Yarrowia lipolytica: one gene and its partners. The protein of the gene in region 1 interacts with the protein of each later gene in a pairwise test. Links are inferred from orthologs where the notes say so. Each region holds a gene or a part of one and is shown in the gene's direction. Other genes may lie near its edges. The genes, in order: YALI1_F06797g, YALI1_C30514g, YALI1_B22820g and YALI1_B07094g.

What was found.
Region 2: the proteins of YALI1_F06797g (region 1) and YALI1_C30514g interact in binary tests that used the Saccharomyces cerevisiae proteins (3 or more experiments, as listed by UniProt). The link is inferred for Yarrowia lipolytica from reciprocal best matches to the Saccharomyces cerevisiae genes ERG28 and ERG26.
Region 3: the proteins of YALI1_F06797g (region 1) and YALI1_B22820g interact in binary tests that used the Saccharomyces cerevisiae proteins (3 or more experiments, as listed by UniProt). The link is inferred for Yarrowia lipolytica from reciprocal best matches to the Saccharomyces cerevisiae genes ERG28 and ERG27.
Region 4: the proteins of YALI1_F06797g (region 1) and YALI1_B07094g interact in a two-hybrid assay, tested with the Saccharomyces cerevisiae proteins (2 studies listed by BioGRID, with this or other methods). The link is inferred for Yarrowia lipolytica from reciprocal best matches to the Saccharomyces cerevisiae genes ERG28 and ERG11.

What each region holds. Positions count from the first base shown.
Region 1 is NC_090775.1:676,781-681,658, forward strand, and holds YALI1_F06797g (uncharacterized protein), read left to right. Parts: upstream 1-3,005; coding exon 3,006-3,407; downstream 3,408-4,878. Other genes in the region: YALI1_F06787g (uncharacterized protein), read right to left, coding at 1-1,959. UniProt on the Saccharomyces cerevisiae protein: Part of the third module of ergosterol biosynthesis pathway that includes the late steps of the pathway.
Region 2 is NC_090772.1:3,048,409-3,053,834, reverse strand, and holds YALI1_C30514g (uncharacterized protein), read left to right. Parts: upstream 1-2,380; coding exon 2,381-3,460; downstream 3,461-5,426. Other genes in the region: YALI1_C30524g (uncharacterized protein), read right to left, coding at 411-1,409; YALI1_C30474g (uncharacterized protein), read right to left, coding at 3,618-5,426. UniProt on the Saccharomyces cerevisiae protein: Sterol-4-alpha-carboxylate 3-dehydrogenase; part of the third module of ergosterol biosynthesis pathway that includes the late steps of the pathway.
Region 3 is NC_090771.1:2,279,772-2,285,446, reverse strand, and holds YALI1_B22820g (uncharacterized protein), read left to right. Parts: upstream 1-3,375; coding exon 3,376-4,407; downstream 4,408-5,675. Other genes in the region: YALI1_B22853g (uncharacterized protein), read left to right, coding at 121-2,688. UniProt on the Saccharomyces cerevisiae protein: 3-keto-steroid reductase; part of the third module of ergosterol biosynthesis pathway that includes the late steps of the pathway. ERG27 is a catalytic component of the C-4 demethylation complex that catalyze the reduction of the keto group on the C-3.
Region 4 is NC_090771.1:706,910-712,794, forward strand, and holds YALI1_B07094g (uncharacterized protein), read left to right. Parts: upstream 1-2,536; coding exon 2,537-4,108; downstream 4,109-5,885. Other genes in the region: YALI1_B07076g (uncharacterized protein), read right to left, coding at 1-769; YALI1_B07134g (uncharacterized protein), read right to left, coding at 4,241-5,885. UniProt on the Saccharomyces cerevisiae protein: Sterol 14alpha-demethylase that plays a critical role in the third module of ergosterol biosynthesis pathway, being ergosterol the major sterol component in fungal membranes that participates in a variety of functions.

The sequences.
Region 1 (4,878 bases):
GCACGACTTAAAGTCCTCGGCCCAGCCTCCATCTGCTTCCTGGTAGCCCGCCAGAAAGTCGCACGCCTTTTGAACCGTGGAACAGTTGTTATAGTTGAGATTCTGCGTCTCCAGAGCCTCCATGGCAAACATGTGAGCGTAGCAGTAGCACACGCCCCAGGAGCCAAAGAAGCCGCCGTCAGGCTGCTGCTCTCGAATAATGTATCCAATGGCAGCAGAGATGGCTCGGTCCACGTCTTCGTTGCGGTAATCGTGGTACTTTCGAAAGTAGGAGAGACCCAGAACAACAGAATCAGTGCATTCCACGTACGGATACTCCACCATGATGTTTCCAAACACCTCGGCCGGATTGATCTTCTCCAGCATGGACGACGCCCGGATAGGCTCATAGGAGGCGAAAGAGCCCGGTTCAAACGAGCCCACGTTCTGCATTCCCAAAAGTAGATCGATGGCAGTGTGTTTCCGCTTGTCAGACACTTGTTTCTTCAGATCCTCGTATCCAGGCGTATTCTGGACCATGATGATGGCCTTGAGAGCCTCGGCAGTACAGTCGGAGACCGGATACCCCTGGGTCTTGGTACTAAAGGGCCATCCTCCGACGCGGTCGTCTCGATAGGAATTTTCCTCCGTCGGCTCGTTGATCTGGGACCGATCGAGAAAATCAAACGCCGCTCGGATCGTCTTCTGGTACTGGGGAAGTTCGGCAAAGCCACAAACACACGCGTATTGCACGGCAAACGCAGTATCCCAGACCTGGAGACCGTTGGTGCCGTTCATAAACATTCCCGACGGATTCAGAGACAGAAATTCGGGCCATCGGGCCGCAATCTTTTTGTAATTCGCCGAATCGGGCCCCTCATGGAGATACATGACAATGGAGGTCATGGCATTGTTGACGGGAGCGAGACACAAGTGTCGTGTGTTGGAAACCTCTCGAAGGCACAAGTTGTAAATTTCCTCCTTGACCTTTTCTTTGATCCACTGCGGTCTGAACTTGCGGTATCGTCGGAGAAGCGCGTTGCCAAACTTCAAAAGGCCGGTGTGGGGATAGTAGAGGTCGACTCCGGAGATGGAGTTGCAATGTTTGGAGAAATCAATCTCCGAGTAGGGCTTTTTGTAGATTTCGTCTCGGAGCTCCTCCAGCAACGGAGTGAGTTCGCATTGGGCCTCCGCAGCCTCCAGATAGCCCATGGCAAGGTAGATCCACCGGGTATGGACCCACCATCGGCCCGGATGAACAGGAACAAAGTAGGGCAACAGCCAGAGCTCGCCAGGGGCCGGATTCACACCCTCCCATTTGTAGAGATTGAGAATCGACAGCCAGGTCTTGCCCCAATGGGGGTTGTTGATGGCGCCGCCAAACTTGGTGAGCAGCGTTTTGCGCGCCTTGACGCAGACCGGATGGTCCCGTGACAGGCCCAGTAGTCGCAGGACCACGTAGTTGATGCTGGTACCGAAGCAGGTGCTCTTGTCTTCTTTGTGAAGGCCCCAGCCTCCGTCAACTGGGTGGGCTGTGTTGACAATGTATCTGATCATTTCGGTTTTGACCGGCGTGGGGATCTCGTTGCCGCCAAAGTAGCACGCCGTCACATAGCCGATGCTCATGAACTGCGGTCCGTCGTATTCGCTCTGCCACGCGCCGGAGTCGGGGTCTTGCAGCGACGCAAACAGATGCCAGTTTTTGAGAGCCGCTTCGTAGGCATTTTTCACGGGCTTGGAGTCCAGAGTCACGGGCGCGTATCCCGGCAGCTCCAGCGAGTATTTGACGTAGTCGGTAGCCCTCTTTTCCAGCTCTTCCAGCGGTGTGGTATCGTCATACTTCCACCATTGCGCCCCCAGATCGGACGCGTGGAACGTCCATCGTCGCAGATCCGTCTTAGGTAAGCCGTATCGGTCGCTGCGGTACTTGGAATGTCCGTTTTTCGCAAACTGTTTCGACACACTTTCGTGGATTCCCATGGCGGAGTGAAGTGGTGAAGTGGTGAAGTGGTGGAGTGGTGCTATATACTGGGCAACTAAGCTAATTCACATGAACATTTGAAGTGTGGATAAAAAGACGAATAATGACACCAGAAAGAATCCGAGTAGTGCATTAGATTCATAACAAAAATACGAGTAAAAAGATATAAAATACTCCCTTAATCGTCCTCTTATTCCTGAAATGACAGACTCTCTACTCCTCGCTCATATCGCATCAAATACGAGACATGCGACAACTAAGACAGGGTGCGACTTGTCGCTAGTTTAAGTTTCGAAGAGGTGATTTGGTACAAAGATGAATGTGGATTATTGGAGTAAGTACCGAAAAATGGAGCCGGAAGTCAGGGGAGTCCACAGGTATAGTTGGTTCATCAATGAGATCGCTATAGGGTCTGTTTGGTAGACATTTAGGAGCCTAATCAGTTGACATTGACTCAAGTAAATGATAGAGTTTGTCAAGTAGTTACTGGAGAGGAGCGTTACTATTTAAATAAATTTCAAAAAAATCAAAAAATCAAAAAATCAAAATATAATATTTTTAAAAAATAAAAAAAATAAAAAATATATATATAAAAAGAGTGTGTTTTATTCAAATAATGGGCTCAAAAATAATCCAAAATAGTCCAAAAAATGGCAAGATCGATTCCTGGTCTCCACCCAATCAAACCATTCAAACACCAACTAAAATCCCCTTGTACAATCCCGTCATATATTTACATATTTTCATGTCAAAATAAACTCTCGGAACGGCTCCAACCTCCACATTCCGGATTACGTAATCTTACAAAGTAAAAACTCGACCTGCAATCGACCACTAATCAACGACTAATCACCCAATTCAGCTAAAACTCGGAAAATTAACTACCAGTCACTTGACCATCTTCCTGTCCAAAAATCCGTCCGATTGTGACGATTTTGCCCTTTCTACGATCGTCCCACGTTCCCTCGCGCATATCATTCACCTCTGACAAGTACTGCTCTCGTACTCGTACTGTTCGACTCTCTAACACCCACAAAACGCCCACATGTCGCTCCTGCCCCAGATCCCTGGTCTCCTGCCCTGGTGGCAGCTCATTGTGTCCATCACAGCCACCCTCAACTCCGCCCAGGCCTACACGGGCACCCATGCGACCGCCAGAGTATACTCGAACGACACCAACAAGGAGGTGACGCGACTCCAGGCACGGACGTTTGGCACCTGGACCTTTCTGTCGGCTATCATTCGGTTCTATGGCGCCTACTATCTGACCGACAAGCACGTCTACGACCTCACTCTGGCCTCTTATCTCGTGGCGTTTGGACACTTCATGTCGGAGTTCCTCATCTTCAAGACCGTCAAGTTGAGCGGCCCCTCCATTGCTCCCATGATTGTGTCCACCACCAGTATTGTCTGGATGGTCTTGCAGAGAGATTGGTATCTTAGTTGAGAGTCTGGATATGTTGATCGAGTGCCGCTTGCGCTGTACTGAGGTCACGTTTCGGCCTGAATCATTGGTGCGAACCAGCCAGCAATGGCTCCAGTATCACTTGGACGCGGTCTCTTTGATCTACACACTCAACGCTCACCGTCTGGTCTATACACTCAACGCCACACCGTAATGAATAAAATCAGCTGTTACTTGATCGTCCGTTACTTTGTCGACCACCCATCTTCGGCAATGAAGGTCAGATTCGCAAAAAAGATGTACAATTCAACTCCCACGAGTCCCACGAGTGTACCAGATGTACTCTCATTTCTCTAGCATCAATATTGACCTAGTAGCGACGGTTCAGACCACTTCCAGCTGTGATGGATCACAGAAAAGGTGGAAACCCGTTCAATGCCGGCAGAGATGGGTACAGATGAGTACCGCTATGAAGCTAACAAGGCCGCCATTCGAACCATGTTACTCTCGTCGCTCTAGCTCCAGTACTTGGAAAGTTGTGGGAGATGCAAAAGTGGCACAAGCTACAGTCGTTGGCTTAAACAGGCACAGTTGGATTTTCCGTGTAATTACTTAAGAGTATTATTTTCTCCAAAAAAAACTCATCTAGTTACACACCTAATGACCAAAACAGTCCCGAAACGAGACACCAAACGACGCCAAACGACACCAAACGACGCCAAACGACGCCAAACGACGCCAAAAAGGTAACACCGACGTCGAATGATACCATTGGATAACGGAAAGGCCATCCGAGTGTTTTTCAGCGGACAGATCAGAGAGTCAGAGTGAAAGTAGCAGCAATAGTAACAACGACAACGACAACGACACCACTCACCCAGAGTCCTTGAACGAGAGAGACCAGCTCACGGCTTTGTGCCTGTCGCATTCAGACAAAGTCCAGAATCAATGCCGTTGGCTGGGTAGGTGCCTGAAAGCATTGGTCTGGTCCTTTGCCTGAGGATGTGGTTGTGGCCAGACCCATGCTCGAAAGCGAAGCTGGCAAAACGACAAATCCTTAGCTCTGGCTCACTCTCTTCGCATGAGAAGTCTGCGTTACCCCAAAGACATTCCTTACCCACGAAAAGATACACCAACTCTGACGAGGAAAGCTCGAAGGTCCCCTGGAAGCCTACAAATCGGTCTTGACTTATCAGGATGCGATAGGATACCCTGTCGAAGTGTCATGCTCGGTTTCACACTGACCTGGAGACGACACGCAACTAACCATGTAGCCAAGTCACCAGATTATGACCAATAAAGCCGGCAGAAAGTGATGCCATGGATGATTGATAGGGACTTGAAACTGGCCGATGAGAAATGGGACGGTGTTTGAAAGTGTTGTTGTCGATGTGACGCTGACTACTTGGACCCCAACGGAATCGGTTCCGTCTTCCACCAGCATGTACCGGTGACGAGTGCGGTTTATCTTGGATATAGCCAGTTTTACACCGTGAGCCGTCCCTACAAGTAC
Region 2 (5,426 bases), on another chromosome or scaffold:
GAGGGCTGTACTGAAATGTTTTTGCCTAAACGTTGATCATTGTGGTCTTATCAAAGTGTATATTTGTGAATATGCAACTTTTGCGTATTTCTGGGTCATTTTGATCCTCTTGGAGGGACCTTGTATGGCTGTTGAGATTACTAACAATGTGTAGAGTTTGGGTTGTTTAGTTGGGATGAAATGATTCTTAAGAAAACGTACTTGGGAGCGGTTTATTTTGAATGGGGCTCTGAAATTGACGCCAACAGGCATTGGTGATTACGCCATTCCTTTCCGTTTTTCTTGAGCGCTTTCGCCTGCACAATATCCCACAATATTTGTGTTTATTTTACTCTGCTGGCCACCTTTCTTCCATGTCACCGTTCGATTGAATCTATATACCGTCAGCATCCATGGCTCCATCCATCGCGCTATCTAGTCTCACGCTTCAGCTGCTCGACTCGTCCATTCACTAGTCGCTCCTTCTTTTGAACCTCTTTCTTCACGGCCTTCTCCACCTTTGCGTCAGTCTTGTCCACCTTCACCACGTCAGGTTTGGCCGCCATAAGACCGTTGAAGACAAGTAGCGAAAGGAGGATGGCAACAACCGACCCCACAATCATCAGCAGCAGCTTGTCGTCGACCAGCTCTCCGTCTCCCGTCTGGCGCACCTCAGGAGCATGTGTGGGGGGAGTCTTGACCTTCAAGAGCGCCTCGGCAGTGAGCTTTTTCTCGTCCACAGGCACATTTTGCAGCTCCATGTGGTACTTGTACTTGTCCTTCGCTCCAGGCACAGTCTTGGCTCGAGCCACGCCTGGAAAGATTTTGAAGTCGGGGTTTCTGGTTTCAAAGTCTCCCTCCTCGCCCTTTTGCGAGGTCAAAATGAGCGCAATGAACGGCGAGGGCGTTGCTCGCACAATCTTCTCCAGCATCTCGTCATTGGCGGCCAGAGCAGCCAGTCGAGAGACATATGTGTTTGGCAGGGGCTCAAAGTTGATCTCGATTACTCGCTTGGTGGTATCCATGTACTCCTCCAGAGGAGTGATGTTGTTGTCGAGATTGACGTCGATTTTGACCGCGCCGCACTGCTTGGCCACAGAGTTGGCCAGCTTGCCCAGCTCAATGCCTCCATCAGCATAGGGCACTGTGTACATGGTGGAGGTTCGTTCCAGGAGCTTTTTGAGAAACGGAAACGCCGACTCCGTCTGGAAATCCTTGGCCTTGAGTCCCGGCTGGTTCACCACCACGTAGGTGTTGGCCGAGCAGTCGTGCATCAGTTTCCGCGCCACTCGATCCAGCTCCACTGCCGATATGCTGTTGGATGTCTGTTTGTTGGTGTATTTTTCGAAAGCCGTCAGCTCCTTGTGCGACAGCATCACCGCTGGAGTCGCCAGAGCCGTGCCTATCAGCGAGAGCAGTGCAAGTTTCATTGTCGCGAAAATGAGAGAGATGTGGAGTGGTGTAGAGTGATGACAACACAGGTCACTGTTATATGGCAGCACTGGTGCATGTTGGCAGACTGATTATCGAACTCTGTCCTGAGTTTATTTTTAGCCAGAAATCGAGACGGATATGGACGGTGAAAAGTGCGCTTTGGAGGCCACAAGGCTGCCAGTTTGTTGATGGCAGTTGATGTGACCGAAACGCAGATTCTCTACGAGCTGATTTGGTTAAAATCGAAGCAATATCCACCAAGTTGACGATACTCTATGAAGGGCAGAAACACTGAAGGTGTACCTCAGATGCAGTTCTGAAGCTGTTTCAGCCCTCGATAAACGGCGCAAAAGGAGATATTTTCTTGGTCGCGTAATTCAGTTGAGTTCTTTCCAGTCAAGTTCGTTTCACTTGAGGCAATTGACTGCTTGTACAAGTAGCTGCTCCACTTACGATGGAGGGGTCTCCCGTAGACTTTTCAGACAAGCCCATCTTGGAACGTCTCTTCTACTGGGGGTTTCTGACCTGCTAAAACAAAAGTAACAGAAGAAATAATAATACGTTGACTAGTTTAACAGCTTCCAATTTTAACCCGCAAAATCGGGGCGATATTCACCAAGTTTGAGTACACCTACTACTCTCTCCAAAGGTCAACTAATGTCCCAACTAAACATTCTTTCTTAACTAAGTTCAACTAACCCTTGCCTCCCTCCACCATAATCCTCCCCCTCCCCCCCCCCTCACACACCCCTCCTTCCCAGCTAGATGTTCAAATATATCCTTCAAAAAATATGCATAATTTGTGTCACGTGACTCTTCTAAACACACGCGCCCTAGTCTACTCCCGCTCTCTACATTCCCCAGGTTCCGCTCTTGGTCCTGAGTACTGTACATACTGTACACTGCATAAACTCAATCACCATCCCTGACACGCCCAACACACCATCTTACCACATTCGCTAACATCATGAACACGGTACTGATCGTCGGAGGTTCGGGATTTCTCGGCCAGCATCTCATCCAAAAGTTCCACGAGCTGTCTCCGCGGCCTGAAATCCACGTGTTTGACATCAGACCCGTGCAGCCCGTGTCCCAGACGTTTTTCTCCTACGATACAGAAAAGGACATTGTGTTCCACCAGGGCGATCTGACGAACCGCGACGACGTTCTGCGAGCAATCGACGCCGCCAAACCCGATGCCATTGTCACCTGCGCCTCCCCAGTCCACGGACTCGGAAAGGCCATCTACGAGAAGGTGAACGTGCAGGGAAACAAGGTGCTTCTGGAAGCTACTCGACAGCGATTCGACGAGTCCAAGGGCAAGATTGGCCGGGCCTTCATCTACACCTCCTCTGCCTCGGCTGTCTCCGACGGTTCTCCTCTCATCAACGCCGACGAAACCTTCCCCGTGCTGGACGACCACAAGGACGACTACGCCGACACCAAGGCGGTGGCCGAGAAGATGATTCTGGGCGCAAACGACCCCGAGAGCGGTTTCCTGACTGTCGCCCTGCGACCCGCTGGTATTTTCGGACCCGGTGACCGACAGATGATCCCCGGCTTCCTCGATGCTGCCGCTACCGGAAAACAAAACTTCCAGCTCGGTAACGACGACAACCTCTTCGACTACACCTACGTCGGAAACGTGGCATACTCCCACGTGCTGGCTGCCGAGAAGCTACTAGACTCCAAGCACGCCGCCAACGTGGCCGGAGAGGCCTTCTTCATCACCAACGGAACCCCCATCTACTTCTGGGCCATGCCCCGAATGATCTGGAAGAAGTCTGGCTACGAGGTCGACCTGGCCAAGCGGACCAAACTGAGCACCCCCGTGGCTCTCTTCCTGTCTTCTATCGTCGCAGGGCTCTGCAAGCCCTTTGGAGTTGTGCCCAACTTCTCGCCTTTCAAGGTCCGAATCTGCTCGTCACCAAGATACTACGACATCTCCAAGGCCCGAAAGTACCTTGGCTACGAACCCCAGCTCGATCTCCCCCAGGCCGTTGACGTCACTCTCAAGTGGATCAACGAGACCAAGGAGAAGAAGTAAACCCAGTACAACCACTACATGCTAGTACAAGTAATGACACTCACAAAAGCAGCATTGATGAAGACAATAAATAGTCACGGTAACTACTCGTTACGGTAACTACACTACAGTACACCACCCATATATCTACATACACATTCACTATAGCATAGCACCCCTAAAGACGAAGCTCATAGTTGTAAATGTACAACCCAAAAGACAATGAGCTAAGGACGAAACAAATAGTGGGGGCCAGGTCCCGGTTGAAAAGAGCTACCACAACAAGACCAAGGGTAAGAGTGGCAATCAGAGGCTTCAACCGAGGAGCATCGGACGAAAACCCAAACGCATCGCCGAAATACGAACCGTAGGGCGTCTCCCCACCAGGATACACATCCGCACTGTCAGTATCATAGCCATCAAAATCGTAAGCAGGGTTTCCATCGGGATCCTGGTTCACCATACGGGGAGCCTCGCCATTGGGATACAGTTGCTTGAGCTTTTCAGCAAGAGAAGCACCCTCAAAGTTATCAGCACCAGATCCTTCCTCAACTTCACCCTCGTAAACCCCCTCGGTCAAAGGTGCTGGGCCCTCATCGTAATACTCATCCCCGGCAGGAGGGAACTCGTGGTAGTCGGAAGTTTCAAAGTTCTCTTCGTGCTTTGGTTCATGGTTGTAGTCGGGCTCATGGTAGTCGGGCTCATGGTAGTCGGGCTCATGGTAGTCGGGCTCAGAGTCATGGTGATACTCTGGCTCGGGTTCATGAAGAGAAGGTTCCTGGTGAGGCTCGGGGATGTGGTACTCTTCGTGATACTCCAAATTGTGTTCATGATGGTGCTCGTTGACCTCATTATTAAGATTGAGGGTCCCATCGTTGATAAGAACATGCTCCTCCCCACCATGGTGGCTCTCGCTGTGCTCCTGATGGAGCTCCTGGTGATCCTCTTGATGCTCTTCGTGCTCTTCATCTCCCTCGTCGTCTCCATGGTGCAGTTCCTCATCAACTCCGAGCAGCTCCTGGCTTGCGTCACTGTGGTCCTCACGGTGCTCTCCGTTATTCTCTTCATAATGGGGTTTCTCATGGACAGGATCCTCGTAATGATACTCTTCCTCAAAAGGCCAATTACCGTCTTCACTGGGAAGAGGCTCCTCGGGCTGCCACTCGTGAATGGGTTCAGAAATGGGCCCTGAGGAAGGTTCTGGCTCATCGACAGGCTCGGGCTCATCGACAGGCTCGGTACCATCTTCTTCACCTCCAACTACAATTTTGGGCTCGTAGTAATGAGGAGGCTGGTAGATAGGGTCTTCTGGGACCACAGGCAACTCGTTGTCGCTATGGTACATGTCAGAATCGCCCTCGGTATCGGCATCAGGAGTAAGCTGAGCAGGAGGAGTAGCTTCTGGGTCGAGAACCACATCGCCGGGTACGACGGGCTCCACCTCGGTCTGAAAGCCACCGTTGGGGTCATTCACGCCTTCCGTCGGAACATCAAATATAGCGTCCTTAACATAGCCAGACGTGACATCCATGGGCTCTCCAAATGTGGATTCCAGTGGGGGTCCATCAACCCAGTGTTGGTATCCTCCCGAATGCGGTCCTGGAAGTGTTCCACTGTCCGCACCATCCGCTCCGTCCACCAGAGAATCAGAATCAGGAACTGGATACAGATTACTCCCGTTGAGAACCTCGGGAGTGTCTCCGCTGGGCTCTTCGGGACTCTCCAGAAACTTCTTTCGCTCTGCCAATACCCGCTGTTTGGCCTCAGCCCAGATAGCAACCGTGTCTGCGTCGTCGCCGGCCTCTTCCAACATCTCCTTAGCCAACCGAACCAGCTTGGCCTCATCTTCGGGCGAAAATGTAAGGTCGTTGTCGTGATTGTAGTAAGGAGTGTGGTCAAAGATATCATGGAGGCCTTCACCATCGTCGTCTTCAATCAGTGCTGAGAGTGGGTGTCTCCCGGGGTTCATGGGGTCCGTGTCTCCCAA
Region 3 (5,675 bases), on another chromosome or scaffold:
ATATACACATCCACGTCAACAACAACTGCGATAGTCACGCCCTAACCCTGAAAAGTTTGACTCCGTCATCTACAACGACATAAATCCACCCCACTACACTGCACTACCCACATCAACGCAATGATTCGAGCTACTCGTGGAATGGCCCGAGTGGTCCCTCGGGTGTGTGCCTCTGTGGCCGCCCCTCAGATTGCCGCACCCGCGACCAAGTTTGTTGCTCTCAAACAGTCCATTCGACCCATCTCCACCCGATCCACCGTGGTCCAGCTGCTCAACAACATTGGTAGCAAGCGGGAGGTGGAGCAGTACCTCAAGTACTTCACCTCCGTCAACCAGCAGCAGTTTGCCGTCATCAAGGTTGGCGGCGCTATCATTACTCAGCAGCTCCAGGAGCTGGCTTCTTGTCTGGCCTTCCTCTACCATGTGGGTCTCTACCCCATTGTGCTGCACGGAACCGGCCCCCAGATCAACGAGATTCTGGAGCAGGAGGGCGTGGAGCCTGATTACATTGATGGCATTCGAATCACAGACCCCAAGACTATGTCTGTGGTCCGACGATGTTTCCTGGAGCAGAACCTCAAGCTGGTGGAGGCTCTGGAGTCCATGGGAGTGAAGGCCCGTCCCATCACCGGAGGCGTCTTCCAGGCCGAATACCTCGATAAGGATAAGTGGCAGCTGGTTGGAAAGATCACCCGAGTCGACAAGACCCCCATTGAGTCTTCTATCAAGGCCGGAGCTCTTCCCATTCTCACTTCTCTTGCCGAGACTGCTGACGGCCAGATTCTCAACGTCAACGCTGACGTTGCTGCCGGCGAGCTCTCCCGAGTGATTGAGCCTCTCAAGATTGTCTACCTCAACGAGAAGGGCGGTCTCCACAACGGTACTACCGGCGAGAAGATCTCCATCATCAACCTTGACGAGGAGTACGAGGACCTTCTCAAGGAGCCCTGGGTCAAGTACGGCACCAAGCTCAAGATCAAGGAAATCAAGGAGCTGCTGGACTTCCTTCCCCGATCTTCCTCCGTCGCTATCATTTCCGTCGAGTCTCTGCAGAAGGAGCTCTTCACCGACTCTGGAGCCGGAACCCTGATCCGACGAGGTTATAAGCTTGTCACCCGAGACAACCTTAACCAGTTTGCCTCGACTGATGCCCTTCGAGCCGCTCTGTCTCGAGACAAGGATATTGCTTCCAACAAGGTCTCTGTTGCTTCTTACTTGCGAGAGCTTGAGACATCTCCCTTCAAGGCCTACGGAGATGAGCCTTTGGAGGTGCTTGCCATTGTCCGAGAGTCCCCCCACGGAGCTTATCTCGATAAGCTCCTGGCCTCCAAGAACGGCTGGCTCAACTCGGTCACCGATAATGTGTGGACCGCCATCAAGAAGGACCACAACAAGATGTGGTGGACTGTCCCCGAGGAGGACGAAAACACCTCGTGGCATTTTGACAAGGCCGACGGATCATTTGCCAAGAACGGCCAGGTCCTGTTCTGGTACGGATTTGAGGCCGACGAGGTGTCCAAGCTCATTGCCTCGTTTGTTGCTAACGCCAAGGCCGAGGCCTTCACTGGTGTGCGATCCATGCACACCGGCACCGGCCTTGGTAACGGTCGAAAGACAGGTGCCCCCGGTGTCGGTCGATACTTCCGACCCACTATCCATTCGTCTCTGACCCCTAAGACCCGACACTTCACCACCAACCCCAACCCCCCTATTGAGAAGGGCACCAACACCAAGCCAGCCAAGGTTGCTCTGATTGGTGCTCGAGGATACACCGGCAAGGCCCTCATTGATCTGATCGACAACCACCCTCATCTCGAGCTGTCTCACATTTCTTCTCGAGAGCTCGACGGTAAGCCCCTCGAGGGTTACAAGAAGGCCCAGATGAAGTACTGCAACCTGCAGGTTGAGGATATCGTTCGTCTGGAGGAGAAGGGTGCAGTTGACGTCTGGGTCATGGCTCTGCCCAACGGAGTCTGCAAGCCTTTTGTCGACGCCATTGAGGGAGTCCGAAACAAGTCTATCATGATCGACCTGTCTGCTGATTACCGATTTGACACTACCGGTGATTGGACCTACGGTCTGCCTGAGCTGGTTGATCGACAGGCCATTGTCAACGCCAAGAAGATCTCTAACCCCGGATGCTACGCTACTGGTTCCCAGCTGGCCATCGCTCCTCTTCTACCTTACCTTGGTGGCCAGCCCACCATCTTTGGTGTTTCTGGCTACTCTGGAGCCGGCACCAAGCCTTCTCCTCGAAACGACATTGACAACCTGCGAGATAACCTGATCCCCTACTCTCTGACTGACCACATTCATGAACGAGAGGTGTCTTCGCAGCTCGGCACTCCCGTTGCCTTTGTCCCCCACGTTGCCTCATGGTTCCAAGGCATCTCCCTCACTGTTTCCATCCCCCTGGCTAAGCCTCTGACCTCTCGAGATATTCGAAACATTTACCAGGATCGATACGCCGGCGAGAAGCTGGTTCAGGTGACCGGTGAGGCCCCCGAGGTGCGACACATTTCTGAGAAGCACCACGTCTCTATCGGAGGCTTTGGCGTTTCTTCTAAGGAGGACCGAGTGGTTGTTGTCGGCAACATTGACAACCTGCTCAAGGGAGCCGCCACCCAGTGTCTGCAGAACATTAACCTGGCCATGGGTTACGGCGAGTATGATGGTATTCCTTTGTAGACACGGACTGCAGAGCCCTAAGCATATAAGAAAAGATGATTGAAACCAGCAAGTTGAGTTAAACATGTGTAGACATGCCTTCGTGAGATATATTTGTGATATCCAGAAACTGATACAATGGCTGTTGATATCTATAGAGTGTTAAGTTTTGTTTTTGTTTTTGTTTTTATAGCTACATATATATATCAGCGGTAGGGCTTGCAGTTTGCCTTAGTCAAGTAGAATACTCTCGTCCTTCTCTCTTGGTGAAGCTTCATCACACTCCTTAGTCCAATATGGGCGATTATATATTAACAAGGTGCTCCTCATTCATACCAACAACTTATGACTTCAATTCTTTACATACTGTAATCTTCAACTCCCGGCTTCATCTATTATCACTCGCACTGGTCGCATTGTTCGTATGCATCGTACACTATAGTGTAACTCTAACCAGATGTCTGCAGATGTAAGCGATCGTCAACAGGGCGATATTCGGGGTGTTGAGCCCTAGTTGACAGATATATTTTCTTGTAGTTGTAATCATAACGAGATTTTGGTGAAAAATACGTTTTCAGCATTAAATTCTGACCGGTTCTTGTTCAGTAATCACTCTCCAATGTATTCCCATAGATCCCCTGCATGCATTGTCAAGACTGACGATATCAACCGACTTTCCTGTGCACAACACGACGTAACTTACAAGCCATGATCCACAACAGAAAAACGCAGACGGTTGTGATCACAGGCGCGTCATCCAACCTTGGCATTGCTATTGGTAAGCGTCTGATCGACGAGAAAAAAGAAGACGCCCATCTCACTATTGTGGTCACTTCGCGAACCCTTCGAAACGTCCGTGTCGCCATCAAGACCCTCAAGGCACATGCCGTAGCCAAGGAGGTCGGTCCCGAGGTCGACTTTGACTACCTTCTGTTTGATCTGGCAGACATGACGTCTATCAACGGCGCTCTGGTGGAGCTCAAGCTGCGGTTCTCTCGAATCGACACTCTCATCTTCAACTCCAACGCAGCCAACTACATTGGAATCAACTGGCCTCTGGCCATGTGGCGATTCACCACGCAATTCAAGAGCGAAATCGAGAATCCCAGTTGCATGATCCAGGCTGTGGGAGTCAAGTCCGACGACGGTATGGGCTCTGCGTACCAATCCAACGTGTTTGGACCATGGTACATGGTGCTGGAGCTCACCGAGCAGCTCAAGAACGGCGGAAAGGTCATCTGGATCAGTTCCATCACGTCTTCTGAAAAGTACGTGGATCTGGAAGACATTGAGCTGATTCACAACAAGGAGCCATACAAGGGCTCGAAGCGTCTTATTGACGTGGCCCACAACTACTACTCGCCGAAACTGGAAGAGGAGCATGGTATCTACTCGTACCTGACCGACCCCGGTATCTTCACCTCCTCCTCGGCCTCCGAGTACCTCAACATCTTCTCTGCCTTCGGCATGTATCTCATGTTCTACTTTGCCCGGCTCATTGGACTGACCACCATGAACATTGACCCTTATAAGGGAGCCAACGTGCCTGTGTGGGTGACCTTGAGCGAGGACCCTTCAGCTCTTAAGCGAGAGTATCGTTTGGGCTCGAGAACAGGAAGATGGGGTACGGAGATGATGGACGCTACAAAGCTGCAATATGAGGGAAGCGAAGAAGTCGGAGCATACATTGATAAGGGTGTGGGAGAGTGGAGAGAGAAGTTGAAGGATCAGATTAACTAAGCCAATTGAATGGAGTAAAAGTTGATGAGGCAGTGGAGCTAGCTTAATAGACTGCTGGTTGGAGACTGTCAGCTGCCTTAATCTGAGCATGACTTGCTTCGAGACAGTGAAGGTGTCGAAGCTTGAGAGAGTATCCCAGTGTAGCCATCGCTTACATTTCAGTCTATACAAAACTTGGTAACACCGAAATTAACACATTGGACAATGGACAATGATGACAACTGTCATACAAGTGGAAGCTACGCGTGATTAGGTATTTCCACAGTGAATTGTTTTTAGAGGTCATGACTACTCTGCAAGTATCATACTGTCCTTTACTTCAAGTAGAACAAGGTGGCTACAGTCCTTTAACTCAGCAATTGGCCACTGTACATACTTAACAGGTGGCCATCTATGACTACAGTACGACAGCCATACCAGTCTCGTCATCTGCGGACTTGCCAGTGTCAGTGAAACTTGTGTATTGACATATCGTTGCGCACCATACAGTAATTGAACATATATGTGTATCTTGTCAGTATACAACCAGTCAGGCCCATCTCTCATTCGCACCTACACATCTGTAAACCACACTCACGTGACCATCTTACCTCAATCAATATATTTTGCCAAACCCACCCTCCACCTGATGACCCTGCCATCAGTGTTGCACTATAGTACATATAAGCGATCTTTCTTGTGGCTGCTCGTATAACCTCATTTATATACGTCATGTCGCATTCGCGTCAGACGTTCTATTGTGCCCATTGACAATTGCCTAGGAAAATAAGACATACTGAAGGCAATCTCGATACTCTATCTGCATACTCGATCGACTTTGGTTTCAATACTACCTACTTTTGAGCGCCCCACCGCCTTGCCACTCCGGCTAAATGGCGGATACAAGTAACTCCATCCGGATATAAGGTTTTGGCGATATATAGGAAAATCTCCTTCGAAAAACAATATTTCGCTGTTTCAAACCAGCTGAGATTTTGTTCACTGCCTCCCACTGATACAATTCTCTGCTATCTCTGTCTTAATCGTCTAGCTCTTAATCTGAGGGGTATTACCTTTAACAAAAGTTGCCCCGCTCAATCTTCTGACCCTAAAAGCCAGAATGTTGCGAATCAAAATCAAAATCAAAATTATGAGAGGGGCCACTAAGAAAATGATTTGTCGTGTACTTGTAGAGACTCGGTTGTCACGTCACCAGTATGAATAGGTCACATGACACGCTTACTCCACAGCAGATTTCTAAAAATAAATCCGCCACCGCAACTGGTGCA
Region 4 (5,885 bases), on another chromosome or scaffold:
AGTACCAGTGGAACTCGACTGTGTTCTCGGGCTCAAAACCGGACTCCATGAGAACTCGGAAAGACTCGAGAATGGTAACAGTTCCAGATCCGTCGTCATCTGCACCGGGCGCAGCAAACAAAGAAGGAGCAATGAGATTGGTAGAGTCCTGATGCGCACCCACGACAACAATAGTATCAGGGTTTTTAGAGCCCTTTAGTCGTGCAATAATACTAGGCTGGCCCCAAGGATGCGCAAAGTACTCCACAGTGGGCTTCTTGTTGCCACCCTTGTATCCGTGAGCCAGCTGGTTAACCTGCTTGTACAGCCACTTGGCGGACTCACGCCCGGTCTGCGACTTGTAGTATCGGGTAAAGAAGTCAGTGAACTCGGCAAGGTTGCTGCGCATGTTATCTGTGTTGATTTCGTCAAGCAGAAGAGCAACCTTGTCCTTGTACTGGGGAGAGTCGGGGAAGGTAACGTTAACGGGGGGAACTTCTTCGGATGCTCGAATCTGGTCCTCTCCAGTCACATCAAAGAACCGGACACCCTGTCGCTTGAGAACCAGCTTCTCAGCCTCGGTCATCCAGGTTCTGACACCTGGGGCGGTCTCCACAAGTCGCAATTCATCTCGGTCGGGCAGGGAAAGAAGGCCTTCGTCATAGTTGAGACGCTGAAACTCCTCGGACTGCTGAATCAGCATAGCAGTAGACCGAAGCTCCTCCTGAGCAGGAGCTGCGAGGGCCACAGAGCCCAGAATGGCAGAAATAGCGATTGTTGAGAGTTTCATGGTGAGTGGCGAGTGTAGTGTAAGTGGCACAATTAGATTATGCAAGTGCCATATGTATCAGATGTGGGGTGGTGGGTAGAGAGACCCTAATTAGGGAGTGTTAAATCGGGAAACAGCGGTTAGGTTTGACCCAACATCCTGATACGGTAATTTCAAATACCCTGGTCTGTCATCATCTTCCGAAGCTTCAAATATTCTCTTCCTGGACACTTTCCATCTTTATAATAGGCCATGGTCTCAATAAAGGTCACTGGGATTAGATTATGGAATGGCAACCAAGCTCTCAAGGGTTAGGGCAATCTGTCATGAGAGCGTTGACCCTGAAAAGTAAAGGTTGCTCACTACACCGACTTAATACCAAAACAGAATCTTAACTTGTGTCAATGATACTGTAGTGTGTTTGGAAACAACACCTGCGAACATGTTACAAGTACCGTGTACAGTAGCTACTTGTACATGTAAGCAATTCAGCTGATCGATGTTTGAAGTCTACAAGTAGTATGGTACAGCATTTAGGAGATTTAATTGCCGCAATAGTACTACTTGTAGAGTGCCGAAGAAGACGACTGAAATTGTAACTAACCCACAAGTAGAAAGTGAATTAATCCCATAAGTGGCTTTATTAATGAGGAGGGAAGGTAAGTATGATATACTATAGAGATACTAAAAGATGTACAGAGAGGTACTAAATCTTAACTTCGACGAATCAAACAAGTTACTACAAGTACATACTGTACTTGTAGATCAGTACGCCTTAAAAATCATCTTTATTAGTAATCATATGCACTGGCAAATCTCGGATCGGATAATCGGAGTGTCTCCGTAATCTTTGTTGCGATACTTGTACGCGTCAGTAGTTAGCAAGCTCGATACAGTTCATTGTGGATTTACTAAGCGAGCATTTCCATCCCAAGTAACCTTGTGTTTGTTTTATTAGTAATATTCGTGTAAGCGTACATTCATTTCAAAGGTTATTCTTTCACAGCAAAGTTATAATTAAATGAATGTATATGCAGAAAAAAAAGTTTACATACGCAATAACATCAGAAGTCTACAACCATTGTTTCTACAAGTACAAGTGCAAGTACACCCGTAAGGGTTGGCGAGCTCATTCTTAAATCAAGACTACTTGTAGTTGTAGCTATCGTGTACCACGTGGTGTCTTCGTGCGATATCAAATTTCCAGCATAGCCGCGTATGACAAGCACCATCGTTTTTGCATGTTAGGCTAAATTGCAGGCTGTGCACAGGCAGTGATTACTGTACTGTCTTATTGTGGTACGATGAGTGGACATGATATAGTACCACTGCATCTCTCTTGGTACAGAAGCTAACTTTGGCCCCTTACACACATTCCATGACGTGATGATTTCTCCATTTGAAAGGTGGTGTCATACCTTGCATAATCATAGCAGGGGGATCCATGAAGGATACCCCGAGCCAGCCATCGGCCTATATAAAATAACAAAATCCACTGGATCAGGACTGCTGCATCCTCAGGATTCTCACAGTGGTCCAAGTACATATTTTCCGAGCCCGTTACTTTTATTTCTTATTACCCCTATCCCTGGCATTATCGTCCATGTAATTGGACCGTTACATTTAGACACGATACATACGACATTAGCGAGCAGGTTTGGAAGAAAATAAGGTTTCGTGATTGTGGACGAGGTTCCAGAAGAGTTTAATTTATCCTTCCATTTCTACTTCATCTTGTCTGGTGCTCTCAACATCTACAACTGGTCTCTCACTCAAGTCCACCACAACATGATCATTCTCACGACGCTCAACAACATGGGAATTCCCGTGGAAGGCTGGCACATTCTTGCTGGCCTGGCCATCCTTGCTGTCATCACAGAGATCTACGTTATTGGGTCACAACTTCTGGCTCGACGAAACAAGACTCTGGCCCCTATGGCCTTCTACTGGATCCCCTGGGTTGGATCATCTATCCCCTATGGTATCGATCCCTACGAGTTCTTCGAGGACTGCCGAAACCGTTATGGTGACGTGTTTTCCTTCTACATGCTTGGTCGTGTCATGACCGTGTCTCTGGGCACTAAGGGCCACGAGTTTGTCTTCAACTCCAAGCTTGCAGACGTGTCTGCGGAGGAGGCTTACACTCACCTCACCACCCCTGTTTTCGGCACCGGTGTTATTTATGACTGCCCCAACTCTCGACTTATGGAGCAGAAGAAGTTTTGCAAGGGTGCCCTCACTCGTGATGCCTTTCGATCCTACGTTCCCAAGATCGTTGAGGAAGTCACCAACTTTTTTGCAGTTAACTTTGAGGGTAAGACCGGTAAGGCAGATGTCATGACCACTCAGCCTCAGATGACCATCTTCACTGCCTCTCGGTGTCTGCTAGGTGACGAGATCCGATCCAAGCTTAACGGTGACTTTGCCAAGCTTTACTCCGATCTTGATAACGGCTTCACTCCTATTAATTTCGTTTTCCCCAACCTTCCTCTGCCCTCTTATCGAAAGCGTGACCTCGCCCAGCAAAAGATTCGTGATACATACATGTCTGTCATTCAAAGACGACGAATGGAGAAGGACGTCCAGGACCGTGACCTCATCGACGCTCTGCTCAAAAACCATACTTACAAGGATGGTAAGCGAATGACTCCCCAGGAAATTGCCCACCTCCTTATCGGCGTTCTAATGGGCGGTCAGCATACCTCTGCTTCAACTTCTGCTTGGATGCTTCTCCGACTTGGTCTCGACCCTGCTATCCAGGATGAACTCTACCAGGAGCAAGTTGATATTCTTGGTGAGGCTGACGGATCATTCCGACAGCCTACATACGAGGACATTCTGACTATGACCAAGCTGCAGAATACCATCAAGGAGACGCTTCGTCTGCATATGCCCATCCATTCTATCTTCCGACAGGTCATGCGAGATCTGCCTGTCCCCGGTACCTCGTTTGTCGTGCCCAAGGGCCACTTTGTCATGGCCTCCCCTGGTTACTCACAGCAGGCCGAGCGATACTTCCCCAATGCCAAGAAGTTCGATCCTCGTCGATGGATGACTCCTACAGAGAAGATGGCCGAGTCCGAGACCGACGCTGAGGCCGGCGAGACTGTCGATTACGGATTTGGTGCCATCTCCAAGGGTGTCTCCTCCCCTTACCTTCCCTTTGGAGGTGGCCGACACCGATGCATTGGCGAGCAGTTCGCCAACTGCCAGCTCACCACCCTCATGTCTTGCTACATTCAAAACTTCAAGTGGACCGTCCCTGAGGGCTCAAAGCTTCCTGCTGTTGACACCACTTCCATGATCACGCTTCCTGTCCATCCCTCCTATATTGTGTGGAGCAAGCGAGAGCGTAACTAGATTATATGTAAAATAATACCTTCGGACTATATTAATAATAAACGAGTAATTGAACCTGCAGTTACATTAATTTTGACATTGACTATAAAACAAACCCCCGTCTTCTCCTTTCTATATTCGGCTTTTGTTAGTTTAGACCCCATAAACTCTCTTGGCCCCCCAGTAGGAGGCGATAGCAAAGAAAAACAGCGATGCCGTGATTCCCCAGAACCAAACGGTGCCTTTATGTTCTTGTCCAGGAACAATGACGTTCATACCCCATAGACCGGTGACAATGTTCATCGGAAGCACAATAGTACCGAGGACAGTAATCTTACCCAGTACATCGTTTGTATCGTTGTTGATCTTCGTCATATCGATATTGACTTGGGCCAGACAGTTGGAATGCGCTCGAGCAAGAATCTTTTCGAAATGGTTGACAGACTGAACCATAGTCACGATATGGTCCTGAATATCGCCCAGATAAAGGCCGATTTCACTTCGGGGTGCAACCTGCCATTGCTCATTGCACCGCTTCGCGAAGCCCTTGATCACATCAGCTTTGTTTCCAAGAAGCCGAGACAAGGACATGACCTTCTTTCGGGTCTCTCCAATTCGGTACAGATTATCACCCTTATTTTTCAGTCGAATGGTAGAGGTTGTGGTCGTGGATGACATGGAAGAGAGAGAACGCAAGTCGTCGGCGATACCACCGAACCCACGCCTCTGTCGCCTGTCAAGCTCATCTTCGTAGGTGTAGAATTCAGTCTCCTCATCATCGGAAGAATCCGCACCTGCATGGAGTTTGAGAATATCGTTTTCAATATCATCCACTTCTTCCTGGATCGAATCGATCATGGGCTGGAAGGCATCCGTGATGTCATCGATAATGGCATACGAAATCCAGTCTGAGGAAACAGTGAGGTAATCACGCAGGAGCCGTGCACGTCGACGCACATTAACGGGATGAACTGTAGGCAGAAAATGGAACGTCAGCACACCAAAGTGGAACACGATGATATACATATTCAGAGGTTTGAGCTGTCGATTGTGCTTGTGGGCCCGTTTCTTCGACGCCTTCGATGAGATGCTGCTACCTTTCTTCTTAGTTCGCAAAACATCAAACGATCGGAAACAAATGAGATAGTAGTTTCTGAAGAGCTCCACCTTCTCGCGAGTTTCACCCAAGAAAATATCCTCGGTTGTGAGTGGATGGATACCGAATGCCTTCGACAAGACCTTCATCTCTTCCTCAGTGGGGTTGAGCACATCCAGCCAGAAGGGAGTATCGGAGGGCTCAGGAGTGGCATGCGCGGCAGGTCCCGTAGTTGTGTGGGAGCTCTGACCACTAATGCTACCGTTGTGATCTCGGGGTGTCTTTTCTCCTCGGTCACCGACACTGTTTCCCCTCTCCCTGTCTCCACTTGAACCTGTGTGCTGACTCTGGACTTTCGAAAGTACCAAATCCCGAGGTGCGTCTTTGGAAGATGATCTACCTTCGTTTCCACTTCTGTCTCCAGGAGTTGGCGTAGATGCTCTTGTCGGTACTGAGTTTCGTTCAGTGGGAATGAACTTTTCGTGCTTGTCACTGCCCTCCACCTCAACACGTTCAGGAAACAGGTCCGCAAACGATTGGCCACCCTTGACCAATCCCGAAATGCTCTGCGAATGAATGGTCGCCTCAAGATCTTCACGGAAATACGTGAATCGAAATTGGAAGTCAGTACCAATACCAGAATCCTGCCGCTTGATGCCTCGCTTCCATGGCACAACTCGCTTGGGTCTTAGGGGACCCGAC